Linked DNA regions of Daphnia pulex. The protein of the gene in region 2 interacts with the protein of the main gene of each other region in a pairwise test. Links are inferred from orthologs where the notes say so. Each region holds a gene or a part of one and is shown on either strand. Other genes may lie near its edges.

Region 1 (4,051 bases), on a different chromosome or scaffold from region 2:
CATCAACCACCACATCATTCACGGAAGGGGGGAGTGATTCAATTCAATTCAAACTTTTTTCTTTTGGGAAAAAAAAGTTGTCGGCCATTTGCGGTGAGTCAATGGACATATGGCGGCGTTTCTTCTCGGCAAACATGACGTGGAGGCTTTAAATGGGAATAACTTGTATTGAAGAGAGTTTGAAATGAAACAATCAAATACACACAACTGGCAAATGGGACCCCAAAAAAAAATGCTGGACGCTATTTCTGAGCAAATGACAAAAATATCAAAAACGGTTTTCTCTGATTTCCTGATTTTTTTAAATTTAAATTTCTTTGTACAAGTTTGTACAACATGGCAGGGTAAATTACATAAACGGTTAATTATTAGGTGAAACACAATGTTTTTAAAGGCATTTTTCTGTTTTACAAATCACCAGACTTGTACATGTCGCTGATGATGCGCTCGATGGGGATGTTGCCGATCGTCTTGCGGAAAAACAATTCTTCGATCGTCGAAGGAGCGATGGTGCGCAGAGCGGGCAGGAGGAGCAAAAGACGGCCGAAGCGGAGCGGCTGGTTCGGGTAGGCCGTCGAAACGTAACGGCTCAGCGTCAACTGGGCCTGGTCTTGCAAATTGACGGCGGATGGAATATCTCGTAATCCAGCAGCTATTAGAATTAAAAAGAAAAAATGAGTTTCGAGAATTCTAATGAAATAAAAAAAAATGAACTTACAGGTTTTGAAGAGAATGACGGCGCGGAGACAAGCGTATTCGGTGGCGTCGACGTTCATTTGTTTGAACTTGGCCACCGTTTCCTGGAAGGCCTTGATTTCGCTGAGGAGGCCTAACTGGCGCTCGGTGCTGACGGCCGGCATTGTGGGCGGGCAGGGCATGCCACTCAGACCGAAAGGTGAGCTGCTGAGGCCTAGCGCCGTCATCAACGTGCCAGCTTCGATGGGCAGCGTGAATTGAGCGGCGCCCAGGACAAACAGTTCCCTCCAGCTCTCCTCCAACAAGATGATTTGGTCGCGGGATGGCAGGGTCGTGAAAGCTGGCACGCTCTTGGCCCATCGCACGTTCATGAAAAGCAAACGGGCAGCTGATTCGCAAATGGTTTCGGGACTAAAGTTCCACGGCATCATGGCGGCGGCGGCAGCGGCCGGAACGGCGTTGAACATTTCATGTGGATACTGCAAAAATAGAAATGGTTAATTCAACTATCCAATCGAATAAAAGAAGATTCCCCCAAGAAATGCTCATTAGCCGAGAATAATAATAATCAGAAAACGACTTCAATTAGATAAGCCTATCGGATTAAAAGCTGGAAAAGTAAAAAAACAATGACCAAAAGTAGAATGGAAATAGAAACAACTGTGTGACTTTTTGGTAATCTCAGGTGAGGTCAAATTCCCAATCGACCTTGCGTCAGGTATGTGAAAAAGTCAGTGGCCCATTTTAGTTTGAGAAAATTCCAAAAGAAAAAGTTCTTTGTTGTTTCTTTAACCCTGTCCATTGCAAATTTGTTGATCTCTTCTCTACTTTTGTTTGGCTAATCCAATCCCACAGTTAATTGCGACTATTCCCAGAATTGTGTGGTGAAATAAAGAGATGATGATGTACCTTGGGCTGAGGAGCGCACAAGAGGTTCATGGGCCGGGCTGCGTGATGAGACAACAGGGACATGGACATCCTTTCGGCCAGGGTCAAGTGATGGGACAGGTGGTGGTGGTGGTGGTCGGCCGTTGGGCAGTTGAGCAAACTGGACGGAGGTGAAGATGAGACGCTGAGGACCGTGTTGCTGGTCGGCGTCGAAGTGGCCGGTGGCGAAAAGGCGCCCATTTGCTGCGGACGGAACATGGGGATCGAAGTGGACGACGACGGGGGCGTAGTCATTCCCGACGGCATCAACGGGCTAGCCCGACCGGTCGACGGTGGCGGACTGTCGGCGTCGGCCGATCCGTTGTTGTTTTCCGGCGACGACGAAGTCGATCCTTTCATCGAGTAGAACATGGACATTTGGCGGCGCAGAGTCGAGTTCCTTGGTCCGCGTTCGTGTTGAACGGCTAAATATGAAGAGAAATTAATTAATTAACATTCCAGTTGATTGGCTGATGATGTGTAATTCACTTACCATCTTTGTTCATTCCAACTTCAACGCATTTGCGGAGTCGGCAGGCCCGGCATTGGTTGCGGTGGGTCTTATCAACCAAACAGGCCCCCTCACTCTTGGCCTTGCAAACGTACTGGCGATTCCGGCGAATGGAACGCTATATGATGGAATAGAAGAAGAAGAGAAAACAAGTCAACAATCTGGTCCCACAACGCACTGGCAACAATGTCAAAAACAAGAAACTTTTGCGGAAAAATGATGTTGTGTCCATCAACGTACCTTGAAGAATCCGGCGCATCCATCGCAAGCAAAGATGCCGTAATGTTTGCCAGAGGAATGATCCTGGCACACTCTGCACGGAATATCGTACAGGATCCGGCCTGAAGGAGAAAAACCAAAATTTTTAAATTTCCTCAATTTCTGGCGGATTGGCAAGAAATGTTGTGAACTTACTGGACGGAGTTGAGTTGGAGCTCTTTTGGCTGAGACGGAGATCCATGTCGACTGGTGAGGACTTCATTGGTCGAAACTTTCACGAAATGTAAAAACCGGAAAAATCCGCAAAAATCTTTTCTTGGTTGTGAGAGAAGAGAAAACACACAAAAGTCCGGAAGAGATGAGGTCGTTGAGAGGAAACACGAGAGACGACCTGACTCGCTGGGCAGATGGTTGGCAACTGTTGAAAAGTGGACCGAGATTTGGGCCTTTTGACGTCGGGCGAGTCCCGTCAAGTCACAGCCCAGGGTGGGGGTAGAAAAATACGTACATAGGCAATGGGTGTGCTATAGGGTGAGAGGGGGGGTTACAAAGGAGATGGAAAGGGAGTGGGTAGGGGGGGTTTGGAGGGGGTGACCTTTGATCCGCCCAGTCAACCCAAAAGGGCTTCTTCCATTTGGCCGTCAGGCCTTACTCTTTGCCCGCCCTCTCGCCCATCCTTTGGCAGCCAGGAGGACAAATCAAATCCCATGGCTCTTCTTCTTTGCCACCAGCAAGTCATGGCTTTCCTTTACTTTTTTGACCATCCACAGCAGTCGTTGCCATTGACACACATTTTTGCCTCTTTGCCATTTCTTTTCTTCACTGGAAATCAACAGCAGAAGCAAAAGAAGTCGCCTCCTTCCAAGAAAAATGGCAAAACGACTTGGGACCGCCTATTTGATTGCAGACGAAATCAAATAATGACATTTCATTGATCGATAACTTGTTGCAATCATATCGTTAATCATCCAAATAGTCGAGAGGGGAATGATCCTTCATATGGTTTATTTATATTTACGAATTTCCGTTTCATTATTTTTAAGTCTATCTAGGGTCTTATTGTGGGGATTTCGGTCAACAATAATACAATAATTTATGTAGTTCGTTCAAGTTACTCGGTTAACTCTTTCAATCATTTTTAACTATCGATATCTTAGACAATGGCTAATTAGAATATTGGCGCGTCTGCATTCGTCAACACGTTTCGAAATCAGGCAGTTTCGATGGTTTCAACAAAGGAAATGGAACAGTAACTTTTTTGGAAACGTGGCTGCACCAAAAATAGCAAGGCAAATGAAATTACAATTAATGTGGTGGTCGCGTCTGGTCGTTTCAATTCTGGTCGCGTCTCAATAGAATCGCTTGTTACATCGTCGATGCGGTCTATGCTGTTTAGCAGGTGAATCAAATTAAAATTGCAAATAGTATGATAATGTAAACTTAAATAGAATAGTTAGACCGGTTCAAATTTTGTGAAATGTGAGTTCCTAACTTAAATTCCATCATGTAAGCCCCCTGTCGATCCATGGTTGTTTGTTTGCTGTTACATAACCTTTTCCTTTGTGCAGATTTGCCAGACATCGTTAACCAACAAGATGTTCAAGTTTGTGTTGGTATTAACCTGGCATCAGCAGTAATGTTACTACCACTGCTAGGATAATGATTTGTGTTTCTTTTATACCTCCGACCTGCTAGATA
Region 2 (3,500 bases):
GCCGCGCTGGATGCGACGGTGCGTCCTGATGTGCCGCCGCAGTTCAATGGTTGTGGCACAGCGGAAATCGCAAGTTGAGCATTTCATCGTCATTGGTTGTTCGCGCACGGCCGGACTCGATGCTCTTAGCACGTCTCCGCTGGATTTGGGGCTGGACGTCGAGAAGGATTCCTCGGTGGCTGGCTCACCTGCAGTGGCCGGCAACGAAGGTCTCGTCGGCGTCGAGTTGTCCCCTGACTTGGCCTTGGACTCGACTGGCGACGTGAGCGGGCTGGCCGTCGTCATTTTAGCCGAGCTGGGCGATGGGGAGCGGGACCGGGAAGAAGGTCCGTTGGCTTTGGGACTTTCAGGTCCGTTACCGGCCAGTTGGCGCAGTCGCTGTGAATAAAAATCGGCCGAATCTTTGGCTGCAGTCGACGGAATGCTGGGAGCCGCCGCTGAAACGGAGGTGGCCGTCGTGGTGGTGGGAGGCGTTGAAGGAGTGGTGGCCGGAGGAGTGGGTCTCTCTCCGACGAAAGATTCCTGGATCGGCGGTGGGAATGAGATTCCGGACGAATTCAGGCTCGACAGCCCGTGAAGCCCGGCACGAAAGTGTTCAGGCATCAAGCTTTCGGCGCTGGCGGCGCTAGCGGACGAACCGCCCACGTTTCCTCCTCCTCCTCCTCCTCCACCACGGAGGAGCAGATCGTGACTAGACGGTCGCGGAGGATAGCCGGCCGGCTGGGCATTGAGAGAGGCGCCAAACGAGTGTCGCTCGCCGAGTGGCAGCCGCAAGAGACCGAACGGCATGTGCGGATCCAATCCGGCCGAAATTTGGTGCGAGTGCTGGCCAAGGCCGGAGAGAAGCATGGGGAATGAAACGGGCGATGGCAAGTGGGCAGACATGTTGACGGATGTGGATCCGCTTCCGCACGTCCGCGCTGAATGACTACTGGTGCCACTGCTGTTGTTGGACGAAGAAGGCGGCAGACGCGTGTGAGGTAACGGGAAGGGCAGATGTTGCATCGATGAGGTCATCGACGAAGCGGCCAGAGAGGCCACCGAGTGCGGCGTCGAATTGGTGAGTCGTTGACCCGATCCCGACGACGCCGACTCTGTCGAGCGGTGGTGGTTGGCCAACGCGGCGGCCAGAGGGGCAAACGACGCTGGGTTGAGGCCGTGCAGATGATGGGCCGAATGGGCCTGTTGGTGCTGGTGCTGCTGCTGCTGCAGCTGCTGTTGGTGGTGGTGGTGATGGTGAGCTGAGGCGGCAGCGTGCGGCGACAAAGGCGTCGGGCATTTCTTGTGGTTGGACGACGACGACGACGAGTAGCCAGTGGCTCCCGAACGTTCAGACCAATCGCCGCAGCCGTCCGGCACGTAGATCCGGACACCGTGGTCGTTCTGGACATGTTGCAGCAGAATCCAAGCGCTGCGGAAACGTCGCTGGCATGTAGAACAGACGTACGAGGCCGGTTCTATATAAAAGAACAAAACAGACAAAGAAAATTTGTTAGATTTGATCTTCTTTATATACATAAATCGAAGCTTTTAACTATCAATAGCTAATCGGTGTGGAACACGCAAATTCCGTTTACAATACAGTCTCGATTACAATAATAAAAAAAACCAAAGCCTGAATAATGTTGGGCATTATGTTGGATTTTTCATTTCAAGTAAAATCCGGAGAGAGGGGAGTGGGGGGGATGCAATACGTTTATGGAATATGGAATACAAAATGCGACATGGGTATAACGGTATTCTATATTATGTATCTACATATATGGTATAATACAGTGTACGGTGCAAAAGGGTTGGAAACGTACACAACTGTAGCAGCTACGTATGTTGTTTTTTCTTTCCTATTTTGTTTTGCATTTATAGGAAAGAGGATCTGGTTCTCTCTCTATTTCCCTCTTTTTTCTACTCTTTATACATTAGATCCGTTATATATGTAGAACTGACGTAAACACGAGTTTTTTGTGTCACCCCCTCCTTCTTCTTCACCCTCACCCACACATAATGTAGGGAAGCAGATGCAAGTCGAATGAAAAATAAAAAGGAGGGGCTCCTCCTTGTACCGTTCGTCAACCACGTCCTTGTTCCAACACCACACACACACACACACACCGGGTGGGAGAGAGGAAGAATTAGGACGATATGCGTACGAGAACACATCAAAAACACGTGTGGAAAGGGGTGAAAGATGGACAACAACAACACGCATGCACACAAAAAACGATAAGGAGACTGTGCGATATTACAAGCGGGCAAGAAGGGACGCGGAGGGTTAACGGGATTCGAGGGCTCCCCAGCTGAAAAGGGGGAAGCTGGAAATGTGCAGCCTACCGCGTAAAAACCTTTACTTTTTTGAGGTGGATGAATAACCGCTAGAGATAATAAAGGTTCGAACCACACACAAAAAAATGGGAAAAAACGAGAAAGAAAGAAATCCCTATTCTCTGTTCGAAAATGAGCTATACGGTTCAATTTTGTGCATGTGTGTCACAGTGGGTGCAAGATGTCGCGACCGGAGAAAAAGACCCAGGCAGCTGTAGCATCAACTCCAAAAAAACAACAACATCCGAGTTGCAGCTATACAGCAGTTATGGATCGGTCAAACAGACTATAATCTGCACAGGTTCATTTTCTCATACAAAAAAAAATTATTTTGTCATTGGGACTTCGTAAAAATTAGATATTTCATTTCTTGTTTGAACTAATGTCAGGGAATCAAAAAGGACAACAATTAAACTGGCAGACAACACGCTTTTTTCGTGCTGTTAAATTACAGTGATCATCTGTGGCATATTACGTATGATCCAGGGATAGGCCTATTGTGTTGTTGGATCGCTTCATAAAAAGAAAGGAAACATCCATGAAACGGGGTATTTACATGATCGGCATTCCTCTTTTTCTTTCAAGTTCCAGACTTCCACGTACTTGTATCCTCCTCCTTTGAAATATATTCACATCACGATACTGATTATCTCGGCATGTCGTGGATGTTGGTTCTCTCTCTCTCTCTCTCTCTCTCTCTCCAATTTCCTTCTGCTCATTGTCGTTCCTCTTTATATCTTTTCCGAGACGAGTGTTAAGCATTCATTTACCCTCGAGTTCGAAATTTGTTTTCCTTCTCTTATTTATTTATTGTTTTCTTTTGTATTGTTTCTCGGACGAAGGAGGATAAACAAAAGTCAAACAACGAAGGGCTATAAGAACACAAATCACGATCCTCTCTATTCATTCCGTCTCTCTCTCTCTCTCTCTCTCCCCTTAAACTTTCTCATGTGTGCAACATGAAGATGTATTCGATCGTCGTCGATCGAGAGATAAAAGCTCCCGGCCGTGATGGACGGCTAGCATGTCTACGGGGCTAGCTAGTTATCTAGACCCCGACGAATATACACGACGATTGTTTTGTTGCCGTTGTTGTTTCCCATCCAGCGCCTCTCTTTTTCCTCATCAAATAAATGCAGCTGAAAAAATGTATCGGAGTCGGCCGATGAATCACTTGACTG

The links. The genes of interacting proteins can lie anywhere in the genome.
Region 1: the proteins of B-cell lymphoma/leukemia 11A-like (region 2) and nuclear receptor subfamily 2 group E member 1-like interact in a two-hybrid assay, tested with the Homo sapiens proteins (2 studies listed by BioGRID). The link is inferred for Daphnia pulex from reciprocal best matches to the Homo sapiens genes BCL11A and NR2E1.

Annotation. Positions count from the first base shown.
Region 1 is NC_060019.1:13,052,338-13,056,388, reverse strand, and holds nuclear receptor subfamily 2 group E member 1-like, read right to left. Parts: upstream 2,801-4,051; 5' UTR 2,616-2,800; coding exon 2,549-2,615; intron 2,476-2,548; coding exon 2,375-2,475; intron 2,253-2,374; coding exon 2,117-2,252; intron 2,049-2,116; coding exon 1,606-2,048; intron 1,176-1,605; coding exon 719-1,175; intron 653-718; coding exon 408-652; 3' UTR 151-407; downstream 1-150. UniProt on the Homo sapiens protein: Orphan receptor that binds DNA as a monomer to hormone response elements (HRE) containing an extended core motif half-site sequence 5'-AAGGTCA-3' in which the 5' flanking nucleotides participate in determining receptor specificity.
Region 2 is NC_060022.1:6,798,394-6,801,893, reverse strand, and holds part of B-cell lymphoma/leukemia 11A-like, read right to left. Parts: intron 1,458-3,500; coding exon 1-1,457. UniProt on the Homo sapiens protein: Transcription factor. Associated with the BAF SWI/SNF chromatin remodeling complex. Binds to the 5'-TGACCA-3' sequence motif in regulatory regions of target genes, including a distal promoter of the HBG1 hemoglobin subunit gamma-1 gene.